Linked DNA regions of Mus musculus: all the other regions are reported to be linked to region 2. Evidence: microRNA targets listed by miRTarBase, many of them from high-throughput screens and not tested one by one. Region 2 holds a microRNA gene; each other region holds the end of a gene's coding sequence.

Region 1 (4,093 bases), not on the chromosome of region 2:
CGGTCTTTAATGACAGACACAGGCTTCCGCATGAAGAGTAGGACATGAGGTTGAGTCTCTTTCCCTGTAATGCGGAGATGGCTTGCCAGCTTCTCCATGTGGTCTGTAGAGCCCCAGGCACCACTAAATAGGTGTCCAGGTGTAAATGAGCTAACAGAGCCCACCCTGCCTGACCTGGGCCACTCAGAGGAGGAGGCATCTGTTCCCTAGAGGCACCGACTTCTCACAGGGAGCCTGGAACCCTGCATTCCCGTGCTCTGCCTGGTGGCACCTGGCAAAAAGCCGCACTTCAGTCTGGGCTCTGTTCTTCCCCTGCAGGGCTGGGGAGCAGAGTATCATCGCCAGGATGTCACGAGCACCCCCTGCTGGATCGAGATCCATCTTCATGGACCGCTGCAGTGGTTGGATAAGGTGCTCACTCAGATGGGCTCCCCACACAACCCTATCTCTTCAGTGTCTTAAGTCACGTCGTCAGCCACGTTGCCACAGAACAGACTCGGGCAGGGGCTTCCATCGTGGCAACCGCAGCTAATGCAGGGTTCCGGATGCAGATGTAAATACACGTGTAACGCATCCGAGTCACGTTTATATCACCGTTTGTTTTGTGCTACCTACTTAACCTGGGGCCAGTGCGGTGTGGTCGAAGAAGCGTGGTTTCTCTCTGATGGGAGCCAAGTCTTCTGTGAGAGGGAAACAGCACGTGAGGGCGTCGGCAGGACTCAAGGCCACCGAGTCAGCTCATCGTCACTCCACAGGAGGTTGTGCCCCACATGGAAAACACAAAGCTGCTTACACAGAAGGAATAGGAGCACTAGAGCAAAATCAGTCACACACAAGTGGTTTTAAAAAGACCTCACTTGCAATGTGAGTGTCAAGAAAGAAAACCAAGCTTGTCCAGGGACCTGTGAGATAAAGCCACAGAAACTTTATCTCCGAAGCTGAAATACACATAGCCAGGTACTGTGCTGACGGCAGGTACATTCAACCAGATCTAAACTGTGATTGGAGAGGGAGAAACTGTGAAGCTTGGAGTCAGTGGCCTCAATCTAAAACAAGCAAGCAGGCAGGCAGGCAGGCGGGCGGGCGGGCGGGCAGGCGGGTGGGCAGGCAGGCAAGCAAAGCCAAGGCTCTTAAGGGAAACCGGCCTGAGAGGAGGCTTGATCCAGGGTTAGCCCAGAATTCAGGCCCGGAAGCACAGGGAACTCCTGCGTCCACTCTGGAAGCCATCTTCCCGTCTTCCCGTCCCTCCTGTCTGACCTTGCAGATGGCTGCCTGCCCTGTGCACACTACAAACCCCGTGCAGAGATGAAGCTGTAGACTGGAAGGTTGGGAGGGAAGTGCAGGCTAGGCAGGGCATCCCTTGCCTCATTTTTCCTCCTGGTGACAAATAGCAATTAGTGACAGATGATTCAAACAAGAGCAAAGCCTTGGGAAAGCTCGAGGCATCTTTGGATCTTATTTATGCATCTCTCAGCCTGGCACCTATGTTAAGTTATTAGCTGGTTACATCAGTGCAGCCTCTTCTAAAGCTATTAAATACCTGGATATAGCTTCCCAGGTGAAGTAGGAATGTTTCATATGCCCTACATTTTTTTATTTTTATGAGGAAACAGTGGTAGTGAATAATAAAGCATCTTTAAAAAACACCTTATGTGTATATAGACATGCATATATCAGCTCATTCCCTCTGTTGGATGATAAGGGAAATATCCTCCAGACTTCAAGGTACATGCCACTCATTAGGCACCCCATTGCTTCTAAGTTTACTTCAAGCCCTTTGAAAAGGATTATGTAGGATGGCATTTATTGTTTAAAGGATAGAGCTTCCATAATATGATAGAGATATTATATCGGAAACTCATTTCGTCTCAAACTACCACTTAGAGTGTATAAGAAAAAAAACCCAAGCATGTCGATTCATTAAGTCTGTCTTGTGCATTTGTGTGTACTGGGTACAGTGTCAGGTACCAGGGAATCAAACGCACATTAGAGGCAGTCCCCACCTCCATAACGCCAGACATCTAACGGTAAACCATTTGCACAGACATCAGGTCTCAGAACTTTAAAAACCCCACACATGTGAATCTTCTTGGGCTCGAAAAATAACATAATCGAGTTCTGAACAATAGTTAAGAACTCTATTGTAATAACTATATTGGGATTTTATGTCTCCTCAGAACACTTGAGTAATTTATCTTTTCATAACTACTTCCATTCCTAGCCACCCCACCTCCTGGAATCCCTATTTTTTTCTGATATTTCTCCTGGTTTCTTCCTTGGAAAAGCCATGTGTACCCATCTAAGGACACAAAGCATTGTCCCAGATTTCCCACCGCCCCTTTGATCTCCTCACAAGTGGCCAAATATCCCTGGCAATCTGTAGTTGTAAGAAACTATTCAGGAGTAGGAGCTTCAGGGTGTAGTGGTACCGTGGTACCTGCCTTTGATCTCAGCAGCAGGGAGACAGAGGCAGGTGGATCCCTGTGAATTCAGGCCTGACCTGGTCTATATAAGGAGTTACAGGACAGCCAGGGCTATACACTGAAACCCTGTCTCAAAACAAAAGTAGAAGCTTAAAAACAAAACTAAAAACCAAACAAACAAGTAAACTACTTGGACTTCCTTGCAGTGTTAAGAAATCAAAATATTGAAGCGTGTCTGATTTCTTTGAGAAAGGAATCATGACCTAGGTTCATATGTATATTATCAGAGAATTTAGCTTTGAAGAGATATAAGTCCTATGCTTGTATAGCAGAGTCACATTTTAATGAATTTTCCCCCTTTGGCTGTTAAGAGATCTAAACGTATCATAACGTAATCCTTGACTTCAACTCCTCTGAGTGACCATGTGGCGATCATTCCATGAAGCTGACAAGCAAACTTATGCTGCGTAGGTTGTTTTACAGGGTGAAGGGGAAAGTGGGCAGCCAGGCCTTTGCACACTGCAAGTTGCCTCAGGCAGGGTCAGGCAATGGAGATCTGTATCGGTTTGGCTTGCCCACAAGACCCAGAATGTTTATCACTGTGTACAAGTCAGTATGTGTGAGTCTTAGCAAAAATAAGACATGATCAGTTTGTTTCAGCTAAGTGATTACAACTGTTTCAGAACTAAGAAGACACCACCTTGTTAACATACACACTTCGGTGTTGTGTTGTAGAGTCAGCAAAACTCTCTAGCATTTAGAATATTCTTTTCATTGTGTTCTAAGGGTGGAGTTATCCTCATAACGACAACAGAAAGAAGAGTAGCAAAATCATTTTATAAAAATCGCTTGCTGGACTTTAAGCTCCTGCTTAATGCTGAGTATGTTCCAGATATTTCATGTATGTATTTAATAAAGTAAAATATACCATGCATTCCACATCGTCTTACCTGCTAGAGTCAAGAGCCGAACTTTGCAAGGGTAGGTAACCCTCACATATGTTCATAATAAGTTCTTTTTTTGGGGGGAGAGGGAGGTTCAAGACAGGGTTTCTCTGTATAGCCCTGGCTGTCCTGGAACTCGCTTTGTAGAACAGGCTGGCCTCAAACTCAGAAATCTGCTTGCCTCTGCCTCCCGAGTGCTGGGATTAAAGGCGTGCACCACCACGTCCGGCTCTCATGATAAATTCGAATGTATATAAAACAGACAGCCAAGATTACTCTTTGATTCCCAGAAGCCTTGCCTTCCTGAAATGCCACACACCACACTTTGGTAGTCTGTGCTAGACAATGATACACCTTTTGGCTTATTTTTCTTTCAAACTCTAGGAAATACTTCTATGTATATGATCTATGGCTCCTTAAGATGCTTAATCATAAACTGTTCTACTTAGAAAATGAGCTTTTTAAGAAGTCTTCATGCTGTAAAAACTTTGGTGGCACTATAACAAAAAAGACATCTTCGAATATTTGGCATTAATGTGTAATTTTAATGATACTTTGCAGAATTTTTAGAGGTGTTTAACTACTGCTCCCCAGCTTAGCACCAGGACACACAACTCAAACCCTTTGTATGGTAAAGCTGTTGTTATTAAAAAGTGAATTTAATACACACTGTCGTTTGAGCATCCTACCTTAGCAACTCAACAGCCACGTCCATCAAGGAACATG
Region 2 (4,209 bases):
CAGCACCCACATGGTAGCTCTCAATCATTTGTAATTGTAGCTCCAGAGGGCCCAAAGTCCTCTTCTGAACTCTGGGTACATATGTAATGCTCATTCAGGCATGCATATAAAACATGCACACTGGCCTGAGCGAATGCTGCACCCACGGAGGGTCCTTGTATGGATGGTGGGCTCAGCTCTTTGCTGTCCCTACCAAAGCCAAGGAAGGCTGACACTTTGGGGCCAGTGCAGCATCAGCAGTCTCCCAAATGGCACACCCTGAGGGTTCCTCCACCCACATCTCCATCACCACTCATGGTTTGCACTGATCCAGGGCTGGCGGAGCAGGCAGCCTCTGTCCCATGCTAACAGGCAAGGCTTGCTGGGTGACTCTGGAGATTGAGAAGAAAACTGGACCATCTCCCAACAGCCTTGGTAGCTAAATTCAAGACTGCCTGGTGTCCATGACAGGGCACAGCCTGTGTGTGTGTGTGTGTGTGTAGGTTAGCTGGTAAGCTGACCTGGAATTATAAAGCCCAGGCTAGCTAGCGTCCCCTTAGGGGCAATCTTGCCTCAGGCTCCCTGAGTTCTGGATGTTGAGAAGAGTCCTGGCCAGGCATTCTGAGCCACACTGGTAAGGGGAGTCTGGCCTGCTTGTGCCTGTTGCTGGTGAGGAGGCTTAACTCTACCATCTGTAAGCAGGGGCATCCTGGTGAGTGGGTGTTTTCTGCCAGCTCAAAGACTCCAGGCGGCACTTTCTCCCTTGCCCTCACCAGGCTGTGTGTAAACCCAGGACCAACCTTGAACCAGGGCAACTGCGTGGGCCTGCTTCTCTTGTTTGTTCCCCAGGTTTAATCAGGAAGCCCTGGTTGAACCTTACTGTTTTTGAAGCCTCAGGCGCTGAGGAGGCACACAAAGGTGGGTGCTGCAGCAAACCGCAGCTTCAAGCACCCCACCACTGCCCCTCCCTTGGGTCCCATGGGGGTAAAAGAGGCCTTCTGTGTAGGAGGAAGGGCAAGGGCCCACTGTCCTTCCCCAATGAAGTTCACAGGGCAGAGAGATGTTCTCCTTCTCCACACAGCTAGAAGGAGCTGCTGGCCCTGGCCAGGGCATCACCTGTGCTGGGGCAGTATGACTGGGGATATTCTCTTAATAGGGATTTGTGCTGTCCTGGGGAGGCAGTCAATGCCCAGCGTTTTTGAGCATCCACTGGGCTCAAAAACATCTTGTTCAAACGTTCTTGGAATTGTGGAGGAGGTTGGTGAATATGTCCTGAGGATTGAAAGTCCAAGGCTAGCTTGAGCTTAGCAAGTCTGTCTCAAACATAAACAAAAACCCCTCAAAGGTTAGTTGTAGACCTTGGCAGTAGAGGCCCTGGTAGCCAGTGCCAGACACACAGCTCTGTAGGACCTTCTTTCTTGGAATGACTGAGTCAGGTGTAAGGATGAACACAGGTGAGGGTAGAAGGACCCTCTGTTGTCCCCACCCCATCATGTGACCAGAGCAGCTGTACTGGGGGCGCAGCTGAGTGGCAGGGAATCCAGTCATTTGACCCGCTTCACACAGGACAGAGTCCCAAGGGCACAGCAGATGGTCGATGGAGCCCAGCACCTGGCCTGTCTATCACATACCCAGGTGGTGCCTCCAAGGCTGGGGCATGGTCTCTGGTCCCTACCACCCCTATACCTGTTCCCCAGACATTGGGAATGGCCTACAAGTGACAGCGATGTTTGTGGGGGGAGACCACGAAGCCTGCTGAGGCTGACGAGCTGGGTGCCAAGGCCAGTGGACTCTGTTCTCATTCCCCAGCCCAGAATCAGCCCTCCTCCATTCAGTTGGAGCCAGCCCGAGTCCAGGGTCCCACAGAGGTGTTCGACCTTGAGAGCCCATTCCGGTTCACAGACCTCAGCAGACTGCTGCCCGGCTATGCACTCACTCGGTAGCAAGATTTCCAGAAGACAAAGCAAAAGCACAACAACATAATGAAGAGAGGGGAGAGAGTTTGTTTTAAAGGAAGCTTTTTATTTGGAGGTAATTACTGAAACACAGTGGATGTAGAAGTGACCCAGGGACACCAACTGCCAGGACATAGGTCACACGCAGTAGAATCAACTGGTGCTACAGAGGACACACACAGAGGGAGAGACCTGGAAGGCTCCCTCCTGGCTCCTCTCCCCTCCCCCTCAGTGTCTGCGTAGGTTAAGATGATTAGGACCCCAGAGGGGTCAGTGCCTTGCGTCACCGCACAGAGAAACCAGAGTCCCCTCCATCCACGGAACAACCTGCAGATCTGCACAATCGAGTTCAAGAAGGTACAGCATGAACAGCCAGCGACTGAGCACCCTGGTCTGCAGGCAAGGGTCTGTGGACAGTGCAGGGGTGGACACCGGCTCTGTCGCCGAGGCGCTCACAGGCAGGCATACGTGAGCTCCTGGAGGACAGGGATAGTGGCCACCCCGTCCAGCTCTGCACAGCTGTGCTCTCACCACCTTGGTGCCAAGGCAAGGGTCACACCCACCTAGGGATCCCCTTCTAGATATGACTTTTCAAATGCACAAAATGTCACTTAAGCCCCATGCTTGAAAAAGACAAAGATGACAGATGCGGCACCCTGCCTCCTCAGTGACCTGAATGGCGGAAGTGAGCAGCAGATCTGATGTATCCCTGAGAAACAGGAGACTGGGCCATCACCAGCTGCCACAGGACACACGAATCCCCAGAGGTGATGTTGTCACCGCCACCAAGCCCAGGCTCTGTCCAGGCCACAGGTCCTTCTGCAGTCACGGCAGAAACACCCTGTGTCACTTACTTGGGGGTTAAACACAGGCTAAAGCCTAAGTCTTGACCTCAGGCTGCCCAGAGAATTAACTTTCTCACAGACTCCAGCACAGACCACAAGGCCTCTAGGCTGTGAGTCCCCGACTATACATCGGTTTTCTTGGCTCTCTGGCCTCAGCTCACCTGACTCAGGCTGACTGGCCCCACCAACAAGGTTATGAAGGTCCCATGGGTTTTCTAGGTCTAACCTCTCCCACTGCTATCTCACATGTCCCCAGTTCCAACACAGGAGCAGACAGACCCCAGGAGCTTGAACAGGGTGCAGATTTCCTTGACTAGGCTGAGGGGCTGGCTCCAGAAGATAAAACTTCCGTCCCTTTGCCTGCAGATCACAGGAACTGGTCCCAGCAGCTCTGGCACAAGTTTAAGTGGGAAGCCCAACTCGGCCATCAGTGAAGCTCCTGGTCCAAGAGCAAGGACAGAGTCAGCCCCTGCCACCTGAATCACGGGCGTGAGGGCGACACACACAACAAGCTCCCACCTAGGTCTACTCAGAAATGGCAGAAAGCAGCCAACAGGCAGGGAAGAGGGCCCTGCAGCGGGGGAGATGGGGAGGTCTCTAATCAGACCCCTGCAGTAGGAGACCCTGAAGTGAAGGAGAGGGAGGGGCTTGCATCTATAACTGAGCATTCCCAGGCCAGGAAAAGCCTGCTGACACAAGAACCTGTGTACTGTGCAGAGCCTGCGCTGCGTCCCTGAGCCGAGCGAGACTCAGTCTCATTTCAGCTGCAGTCTGCCTCCTTCGCCCTAGCTGGAGGCCTTCTTTCTAGCCAGGGCCAGGTACCCACATCCCCTTCTCTAGAGCTTCCCGGCATGCCCACCACCCAGGGATGCTTGTTCTAGCCTGGTTTCCACGTGCCCCACTCCCAATTCTATTTGAGTGTGCCGGTAATCAAAATGCTTTTGATTTTGGCTTCCTCTGGTAGAGCAGCTGTGTTCACACATCCCAAACTGCCTAGTGGACCCCCAAGTGACATTAAGGTCATGGAAGCTTTCTTGCTGTGGCCAAGGAAAGGCCATTTCTCCTGCTACAACGGGCCCAGCAACCACCCTGCAAGCAAGGTCAGATGTCTCTGCTCACCTGGGTAAGTGACTCCCTAGCAATCCAAAACTCCCCACCCCCCTTTTTTTAAAACAGCAGAAATGTGAAGACAGCTCTGAGCCAACGAGGGCAGAGATGACCAGAACAAACACTGGGGCACAAACAACACTCGCAGGATCCTCTATAGTTCCTACTTTTTGTGCTGATCTTGCTATTATAATGCAGAGCGGATTTCTAAAGCTTGAAAAGCCCACTAAGCAAAGTGTGGGAGTCATCCAAGGTGCGGGTGCAAGCAGCTACAACTGGGCAGAAAATGGGGTCTCCCAGGGAAAAAAAAAAAACCAAACAAA
Region 3 (4,093 bases), not on the chromosome of region 2:
CCAGGGTCCCCCAAATTCCTGACCCCTAGATTCTCCTCCACCTCCCAGCTGTGCCCCAGAGCTGTGCCCCAGAGCTTTGAAGGACTTTTCAGAAGCCTGGTGGCTTTGGCCTGGGACATAGTGACTGTGACTTTTCCTCCCATCTGTCTCAGGTATCTGTGTGACTTCACGTATTATACATCGCTCTACCAGGGCCGCGGCCGCTCCGCTTTTGTCCACGTGCCCCCACTGGGTAAGCCCTACAACGCCGACCAGCTAGGCCGGGCGCTACGAGCTATCATCGAGGAGATGCTGGGTGTCCTGGAGCAAGCCGAGGGAGACATCAGCTGTTGCCGCCAGCTCTGACAGCCATGTACACCTGGGTGCGGTGCCGAGAGAGGGGCCATCCTGACTCATCTGCCCCTCCTAATGGACCACAAGGGGGCAATTGAGAGAGCTCCCATCTGAATATCATCTGGGGACACTTCTGCGCCCAGAGGCCAGGGCTAGTGGTCTGCACACATGCCATGGGGCCACCTTGACCCTGACGCAGTCTGCATTTTCAGGTGTATGGACAAGGAGTTGAAGCTTGCCCTGTGGCTGGGGCCTCACAAAGTATCATAAAGTAGATTAGCTCTAATCCATGTCTTAAACCCTAGATGGTCCCCGCCAAAGCCACTTGGGACCTGGTTGCCTTTTCTATCTTCTGTCTGTTTCTGTCTGTGTCTGTCTCTCTCTGCCTCTGTCTGTCCCCATCCTTCTTTGTTGTACCCACCTTCCTTCAGTGCTAGAACAGAACAGCGTAACTTATGTTCCCATTGTTAAGACTTCAGGCCTAACCAACAAGTGTCTTTCCTTTCTCCTGGGGAGGGCGGCCTCTTTTGCCTCCTGCCCTGAAAATGCCATCATACTTTGGGTCTCCATAGTGGGTTCCCTTTGCTCAGAAGAGCAGGCTGCTATGGCCACCAAGGGCCTGGCCGCAGTAGCCTCTGGTGCCTGTGGGGAGCCGACCCTGCCATGATCTTTCTTGTTCTCTTTTTGATATTTTAAGACTCTTAAAATTTTAGATACTCTAAACTTTAGAGGGTATTTGTTGTTTGTTTGTTTTTTCTTTGGAGACAGGGTCTCAGGTAGCCTAGGCTGGCCTCGTGTGAACTCCTGATCCTCTGGCCTCAGTTTCCTAAGCACTAAGGGGACAGGTGTTTGCCACCACACATGGCCCACCTGGGACCCAGAACCTACCGTGTGAACCATCACCTGGAGCTGTGGATTTTCTCCATCTTGAGATAGCCAGCCTCTAATATCCTGTGAGGGACCTGGGGTGAGAGGCTGCGGTGCCCAGGCATGTCCCTGCATGTCCTATCAGCCACAGGGATATCTGCTGAACTGCATTTGGAAGTGTGCCAGGGACTCCAGCCAGCCTTTGTCTCTGGCTGACTTTGAACTGCCAAGCCAGGAGGAGGGGCTCTCAGGAAGGGTGGGATGTAGCATGTGACCTGGACTCCTTCCAAGACCAAGTACAGTTCCTGCCAGTGAAGCCAAGTACATTGTGGATGCCACCTTCTCTTTTGTGGATGGATAGAGACCTCGGTGTCCCCACGGGATTGATGGATCTGAATTCTGAAGTGACTTCTCATCCCTGGATCTTCTTGTTGTTTGTGAGACTGGGTCTCCTATAGCCCAGGCTAGCCTCCAATTCACTGTAGCTGAAGCTGACCTTAAATCCTGACCCTCCTACCTCGGCCTACTCAGTGCAGGGCTTGTGAAAGCCTGTGTGCTGGGCCTGGCTACTTTTAAGCTCTAGTGTTCCTTGTTCTGATGTGGTTTCTTCATGTCATCATCTTGTTGATCCTGGGTCTGAAGCTTATTTGTCGCCACATGGAGATCTGAGTGGTTGGCTCTCTTTCTGAATCTCAGGGTTGAGGGCACCCTGGAGTGCCCCAGGGTGATTTGCTGTCCCTACAAAGGCATCTATGGGTGTGGGCCTGCAGTTTGAATAACGAGGGCTCCCCCTCTTACCCTCCCCCCAGTCCTGTGCTAACACCTTCTCCAGAGAGAGAGGCCCTGCAGTTTCCCAGATAGCCATGGGCAGGAAGATGGGGGCTCAGGAGTAAGGGATTCCCCAGGGCTCTGGGCTTTTGAGACATCATGTAGACAAGGCAGGCCTTGAACTCCTGGTCCTGTGGCCTCAGCCTCCCCCTGAGATGACCAAGGTGGATCTGACTTTGGTTCCCGTATGTCTTTGTTTTTGTGTTCTGAGGCAGAGTTCTACCTGACCTCTGTAGCTCAGGCTGGCCCTCCAACGTGTGGCAGTCCTGCTTCAGATGTATCAGTGCCTGGCAAGTCTTCCTTAGGAAGACCATGGGCTGTGCTCCACTCTCAATTTTCCCAAAGTCCCTGGCATGGGAACACCATGCTCAGGGACCCCAGGAGGGTGCACATGTCATGTTCTAGTCCCCACTGTTGAGCTGAGGGGGATTCCAGGACATGGGGCTGGTAGTTATTTATTTAGGTATCTCTTAAACACACACCCCTTGCCCTGATCCAAAACTACTTGTTTTTTTTTTTTTTTTTTTTTTTTTGTCGTTTTTTGGCAGGTAGGGCTCAGGGTCTGTAGTTGCCAGGTGTCACCTAGACTGGTCACATTGACCCTTGAGGTCCAGGTCACCCCAGCACTGACCTTCATTTCCCATGCTTACCCTGGGGAGTGTGGGTGGGGCTTCAAGAGGTAGGCAGATGTGTGGGCAGAGCCTGACCTGGGCCTGGCTGGCCCTTACCATTAATGGCAAAGTAGAAAGCTAGCCCAGCGGAGCAAGAGAAGTAACATGGCATAAACCTGAAGCCAGGGACTTGTGCAGGGACAGCAGTGGTAGAATCTGAGGTCTCAGCCAGTCTGAGAAAGTGTCTGATTTATGATATCAACTTAGGTGTGGAGATGTAGCTTTCAGACCAACACCAGCATGCTGTGCCCTGGGCCACTCCAGTGTTTCCTGAGGCCACGTGGAGGGCCAAACTGCAAGAATTGGAGGCAGGATCACCATAGTGGGCACCAATCTTCTGAATTCATTTTTTTGGGAGATGGTGGGGGGTGGTACAGGATCTTGTGTAGCCTGGGCTGGCTTCACACTATGTGGCTGAGGGTGACCTTGAATTCCTTGCCTCCAGGTCCCAGGGATGGCAGGGTTAAGCCTCCGCCTGAGCCTGCTTTGGGGGCAGATCTTTGAAGTTAAATTGATGGCTTCAGCTAAAATGGGAACTCTCTCCTGTACTTCTCAAGCTGGCGTGTAAACCTTCAGGAAAGCGGGGACCCCGAGGCTGGGGGAAGTTGGAAAAGCAGACTCTAGGTGCTTTTGAGTGAGGACTTTGGCTGGAAGTCAGACCAGCTGCTGTGTGCACAGGATGCTTGTGCCTGCGCCCCCAAGGTGACCTTGCTGTATGCTAGGAGAGCGCCTCCAGCCTGCCCTTCTCCCTCCCACTGTCTAGACAGCTCACCCTTGACCTCTCTACCCCTTGGAGTGTCTGAGCCCAGAGTCCCCTCTGGGAACATAGAGACAAAGCCTTACTCTCAGAGCCTGGACTCTGAGAGTTGGGGCTGTGGGGGTCCCTGTGGGGTCCCTATGCATGCCGATGGCTTCTCAAATGTGTACCCAGGCAGGTGGCCTCCCTCCCCAGCCCACCATTTCTCTACATCCACAGGCTGGAGAGAGCAAACAGATAGAGGGGCTTTGGTGTTCTGTGTCTGGTGAAATGCCTCCCGCCCCCCCCCCCCAAAGTACAGTGTCTGGACTAGAAAACAGGGCACATAGCTCTTTTTTTTTTTTTTTTCTTTATATGCAGCAGTAGGGGAATGAACCCAAGTCAATGTTTGGGTTTGAAAAGCTATATCCTGAGTTGCCACAGCCACTAAACATGCCTGTCAGTAAGGCCTGTCACTGGTGTCAGGGACACTGGTCACAAGCTGTAAGGATTGCATCATCCAGGCAATGGTCCTGGAGGCAGAACAAGAGTTCAAGGCCAGCCTCCCCCTACACTCCAAGTTAGAGGCCAGGCTGGGATTTGAGAGACAAAAAACCAAATTATCAGGAAGAGAGGGAGAGAGGTGGGCAAGGTGACT
Region 4 (4,093 bases), not on the chromosome of region 2:
GCATGTCGGCGACCTTCTCCTGCTCCCAGGACTTGGGACCGCAGTGGCTCTAACCAGGCCCTAGCAGGGACAGGTGGGTCTCCAGGAGGAGCCCTTTATGGAGTCTCGAGACTCCCAGGAGGCAGCGCAGGGCCGCCCCGCATTCCTCTTGCATGCTCTAAAGGGCGAGAAATAGCGAGCAGGCAGGAGTGGAGGGATGCCAAGGCCCTAGTGGGGATGGGATGTGGTGCTTAGACACCTGAGTCTGTGGAGGTGCAAAGGTGAAGACTGCGTGACCGCAGAAAGAGGGGAACTGGAACCCCAGAGTCTGGGGGCACAGGGGTCCAGATTCTTAGGTCCTGGATGAAGTGGGGGGGAGAAGGAGGAACGAGAAGTGGCCAGAGCACAAGATGGGGAGAGGGGGGAAGCAGAGAGGGCACTTGTGTGGGGGCAAAGAACGAGGAGGAAAAGAGAAAAGGAAAAAAGGGAGGGAAATCCTGGGTCTTGGGAACGGGCGTGGGGGGCTGGGAGTCTCAGGTGCACGGGGCAAGCGGGGCGGGTTCTGGAAGCCTTTCTTAGCCCCAGTCAGGAGTTTTCTAGAAACCAGAGACGGGAAGGATAGTCCGATTTCCCCCGCGTAGGCAGGACGGGTGCCGGCCTCAGGGAAGAGTTCTCGGTGTCCCTCCCGCCCTATTCTGATCCGGGTCCCAATGGGAGCGGCCTGGCCGGCTGCCCGTCACCGGCCAAGTGCAGAGAGGCCGGGAAGGCCCTGGAGAGCTGCCCAGGCCCGGCTCCTTCCCAGCACCAGAGGGGAGGAGCGGGTAAGGAGGAGGAGAGGGACACTTGGGGAACCACAGGTGTGGCTGGCCCAGAAGGGTGTCAGAGGAAGGAACCAGGGTATCGAAGACAAGCTGTCCTCCCCCCCCCCTTTTACTCTTTGTGTCCCTCCCTCCTTTCTACTTTCAAAAAAAAGATCCCCTAACAGCCGGAAGCTTCCTGGCTTCTGGGGGCACAAAGTCCTGTCACACCATTGGTTGCAGTGCAAAAACTTCCACCTCGCTCCCTAGGGAGCAGGCAAGTTGCACAGCAACCCATTGTAGTAACACACCCCTGTAACCCGGAATTCCAGAGACTGAGCTGAGACAGGGCCATTGGAGTGACTTCAAGACCAGCCTGAACTACAACGTAAGGAAGAGCCTATCTTCAAGACAAAAAAACAAAAACCGAACAGTCAGATGTCTGGAATGGAGGGGTGAGCAGAAAAGCAAGGTGGGAAACAATGGTTTCCTCATTCAAGCCCTAGCCTGGCCCACCACCTTCCTTTCTCCCTCCCCCTCCCTCCCCCTCCCTCCCTATGACTGCCACAGTCTCAGAAGAGTTCATGTGGAGGTGCAGGGGACAGTTCCTAATAAAGGGTCCCAAGACGGCTTAATTTTGATGTACACTTTATTTATTATGCATGTATAGTGGTGATGAGAAATAATTTTATTTAGTACAGTTTAGCCTTGACCACATGGACATCTGGATCTTCCATGACCCTGTTCCCCCTCCCGGCCACCCACAGAGGTGAGTTCCGGTGTGTCACAGGCTCATTGGGGAGGCTCATGGGGTTGCAAAGAGTTTTAAGGGCCTCTTCATCGTCTGTTTCTCAGAGAGACGGAAGCCTGAGTGCCCCCCTCCCCTCACTCAGGCTTCAAAGCTCTGGGTTCTGATTCTGCTGTGGATGCCCAAGACAAACCCACAGTTTGAGCCTACTTGGCCTGTAGCACTTGAACGGAAAAGACTGGGCCTGAACAGGCGGGTGTGAGGAAGTCACTGGTGTGAGACAGACAGGCACTGAGCAGGGTCCTGGGCAGACACCTGGACAGAGGCCGGCCCCAGAAAAGCTGGCCAGAAGTCACCAGTTGTCCAAAGATTCACACTTAGATATCTGGGTGGCGGGAGTGCTTTCTAGCTTGACAGATCACTATGAAAGCGGGCTTTCCTCCAAAGAAAGCACCTGCAGGGACTTAATTTGCCTGCCTTGTGGGTGGGGGTTGACCAAGTCTAGAAGTCTGTCTACCCATGGCGTGGGTAAGCACAGAGTAGTAAGGTATGTTCATAGTTCCAGACGCAGAGGCAGGAAGAGTGTCATGAGCTTGAAGCCAGCCTGGGCTACACAAATAGACCTTGACTTAAGAAAAAGGAAAAAGGGCGTGGTGGTGCACGCCTTTAATCCCAGCATTTGAGAGGCAGAGGCAGGTGGATTTCTGAGTTTAAGGCCAGCCTGGTCTACAGAGTGAGTTCCAGAACGGCCAGGGCTACACAGAGAAACCCTGTCTCGAAAACAACAACAACAAAAAGACAAGACAATGGAAAGAAACAGTCACGTGGTGCGCTGCCTGACATCTGAGCATTCTGGCTGAGGCAAGGGCTCAAGGTCTTCCCTAGCTACACAGTGAGAGTGAGTTCAAGACCAGCCTGAGCTACATAAGACTCAATCTCAAGAATAAAAGGCACCGGCCTTGCCACAGCCATACCTCTGCCACACATCCCCCTCAAACACAACATACAGGTCGCGCCTCAGTCAGTGTGTGAATGCAGGGCTGCTGAGAGCCTAGAGAACTTCCCATATGATCAAGGGATCCCAGAAGGAAGGGCCCAACCTATAAGGTTCACTGAACCTCCCACCCTACCTTACCCAGCCATTCATCTCGGACATAGGTCCCAGAGGGTCCCAAGGGGTGCCTGAGGCAAGAGGAGCCTGAGGCAAGAGGACTGCCACTAGCTTGAGAATAGCCCAGCCCGGGTTACATAGTAAAATCTCTCAAAAAAGGAAAAAACCTGGTGTGATGGTGCACCCTTGTCATCCCAGCACTCAGGAGGCCGAGGCAGGACGATTGTTAAAAGTTGGGGGGCCAGCCTGAGCTACATAATGAGACCCTGTCTCAAACAAACAAAAGTCATAAACGGACGCAGAGAAAAGTCACACACAGGTGGCACAGGGTTCTCAGAGAGCTCCAAACATAACTAGACCTCAGATCTAACAAGGGCTTCAGGGGGAGTACAGAGGGACCGACCTATCTGGCCAACAAAACAAGGGTTTGGGGGGGGCTGTAGACAGCGCCACCTGCTGGTGAGATGTCATGTGAGCTCACAGGACTCGCAAGAACTGCGGTTTCTGGAACCGTAGACGACATCAGGGCTCCCCCATCCCCCCCCCCCCCGAGAAACCTGCCATTCTGAAACCGTGTAGAATGGCCAGTGCTCCCTCAAACACGACCATCCTAGATTGGAATCCTATACACGGCACAGGAAACTCTGGGGAGGCTCTAGGGAGAGCTGAGAACCCTGACTGCCCTCATATGGGGCTCCATGGGACTTAGGGGCCAGAAAGGGGTCCTTAGCGGAGTGCTCAGACATGCCGGGAGGCTGGCAGCAGCGCGCTGTCAAACTGGTAGGTGAGTTTGCGTTTGACCTTGCGGATTTCGCCTGTCTTGGCATAGTTGCGCAGCGCTCGGGCCAGCTTCTGATACGTCATGCGCTTGCGGTTGCCCTTCTGCTGGCCCCAGCGGCGAGCCAACAACTCCTTGTGCTTGGAGGAGAACTGGAAGACGCCGGCACCTGGCTCCACCCACCACACGCACTCGCGCATGTCCCCGCGTAGGAGCAACCCCAGCAAGAACTGGTACAGGCGCAGCTTCTTGCGTGCACCTGCAGGGTGTTGGATACCAGCGTTAAGAGGGGGAAGTCCGTTAAAGGAACCCCCAGAGCTACGGCCCCTCGCCACCCTTAGTTTTCACAATGGAGTTGGGCCTGGTTGGCTGCAACTACTCCAGAGGCTGAGGAAAGATCACCAAGTTCAAGATCAGCCTAGGTAACTTAGGGAGACTGTCTTTTAAAAGTAAGAGGGTGAGGCTTGGCTCAGTGATAGAGCCCCGTGCCTAGAATCCCTCCAGTGAGCGCGGGAGTATAAATAAGATGACTGGTTTGACATACGGAAAATTGAGGTCCAACAGAGAATAATTGGTTTGAAAGGTTGTCAGACACAGAGGCCTAAGGGGAGGAGGATTGTAGGTATATATTGGGTTTCCTTTGGCTGTTACTGTGTCTTTGTGCACAACGGAAACCCAGG

The links. The annotated mature microRNA mmu-miR-339-5p reads UCCCUGUCCUCCAGGAGCUCACG and lies in region 2 at 2,402-2,424, opposite strand. An mRNA with a match to its seed (bases 2 to 7 or 8) in the 3' UTR can be bound and repressed. Matches are read on the target gene's strand: a 7mer-m8 pairs with bases 2 to 8, a 7mer-A1 pairs with bases 2 to 7 and ends in A, and an 8mer does both.
Region 1: miRTarBase lists Smad9 as a target of mmu-miR-339-5p. Seed matches in the 3' UTR shown: 7mer-A1 at 1,195-1,201 and 7mer-m8 at 3,466-3,472.
Region 3: the mRNA of Pgpep1 is a reported target of mmu-miR-339-5p. Seed matches in the 3' UTR shown: 7mer-m8 at 1,097-1,103 and 7mer-A1 at 1,348-1,354.
Region 4: miRTarBase lists Spib as a target of mmu-miR-339-5p. Seed matches in the 3' UTR shown: 7mer-m8 at 2,900-2,906 and 7mer-m8 at 2,293-2,299.

What each region holds. Positions count from the first base shown.
Region 1 is chr3:54,797,040-54,801,132 of GRCm38, forward strand. It overlaps Smad9 (SMAD family member 9), which reads left to right. Exons shown (of 6, transcript NM_019483.5): 6 at 319-4,093. The coding sequence ends at 462. Among named protein-coding and RNA genes, the nearest start is that of Rfxap, 8.7 kb to the right of the region's middle.
Region 2 is chr5:139,367,307-139,371,515 of GRCm38, forward strand. Mir339 (microRNA 339) reads right to left here and starts at 2,439; the gene lies at 2,344-2,439. The region is part of intron 2 of 3110082I17Rik (RIKEN cDNA 3110082I17 gene); the gene reads right to left.
Region 3 is chr8:70,646,845-70,650,937 of GRCm38, reverse strand. Pgpep1 (pyroglutamyl-peptidase I) reads left to right here. Exons shown (of 5, transcript NM_023217.4): 5 at 153-4,093. The coding sequence ends at 345. Among named protein-coding and RNA genes, the nearest start is that of Pgpep1, 11 kb to the left of the region's middle.
Region 4 is chr7:44,524,586-44,528,678 of GRCm38, forward strand. It overlaps Spib (Spi-B transcription factor (Spi-1/PU.1 related)), which reads right to left. Exons shown (of 6, transcript NM_019866.1): 6 at 1,410-3,672. The coding sequence ends at 3,374. Mybpc2 (myosin binding protein C, fast-type) reads right to left here and starts at 84. Exons shown (of 28, transcript NM_146189.3): 1 at 1-84. The coding sequence starts at 4.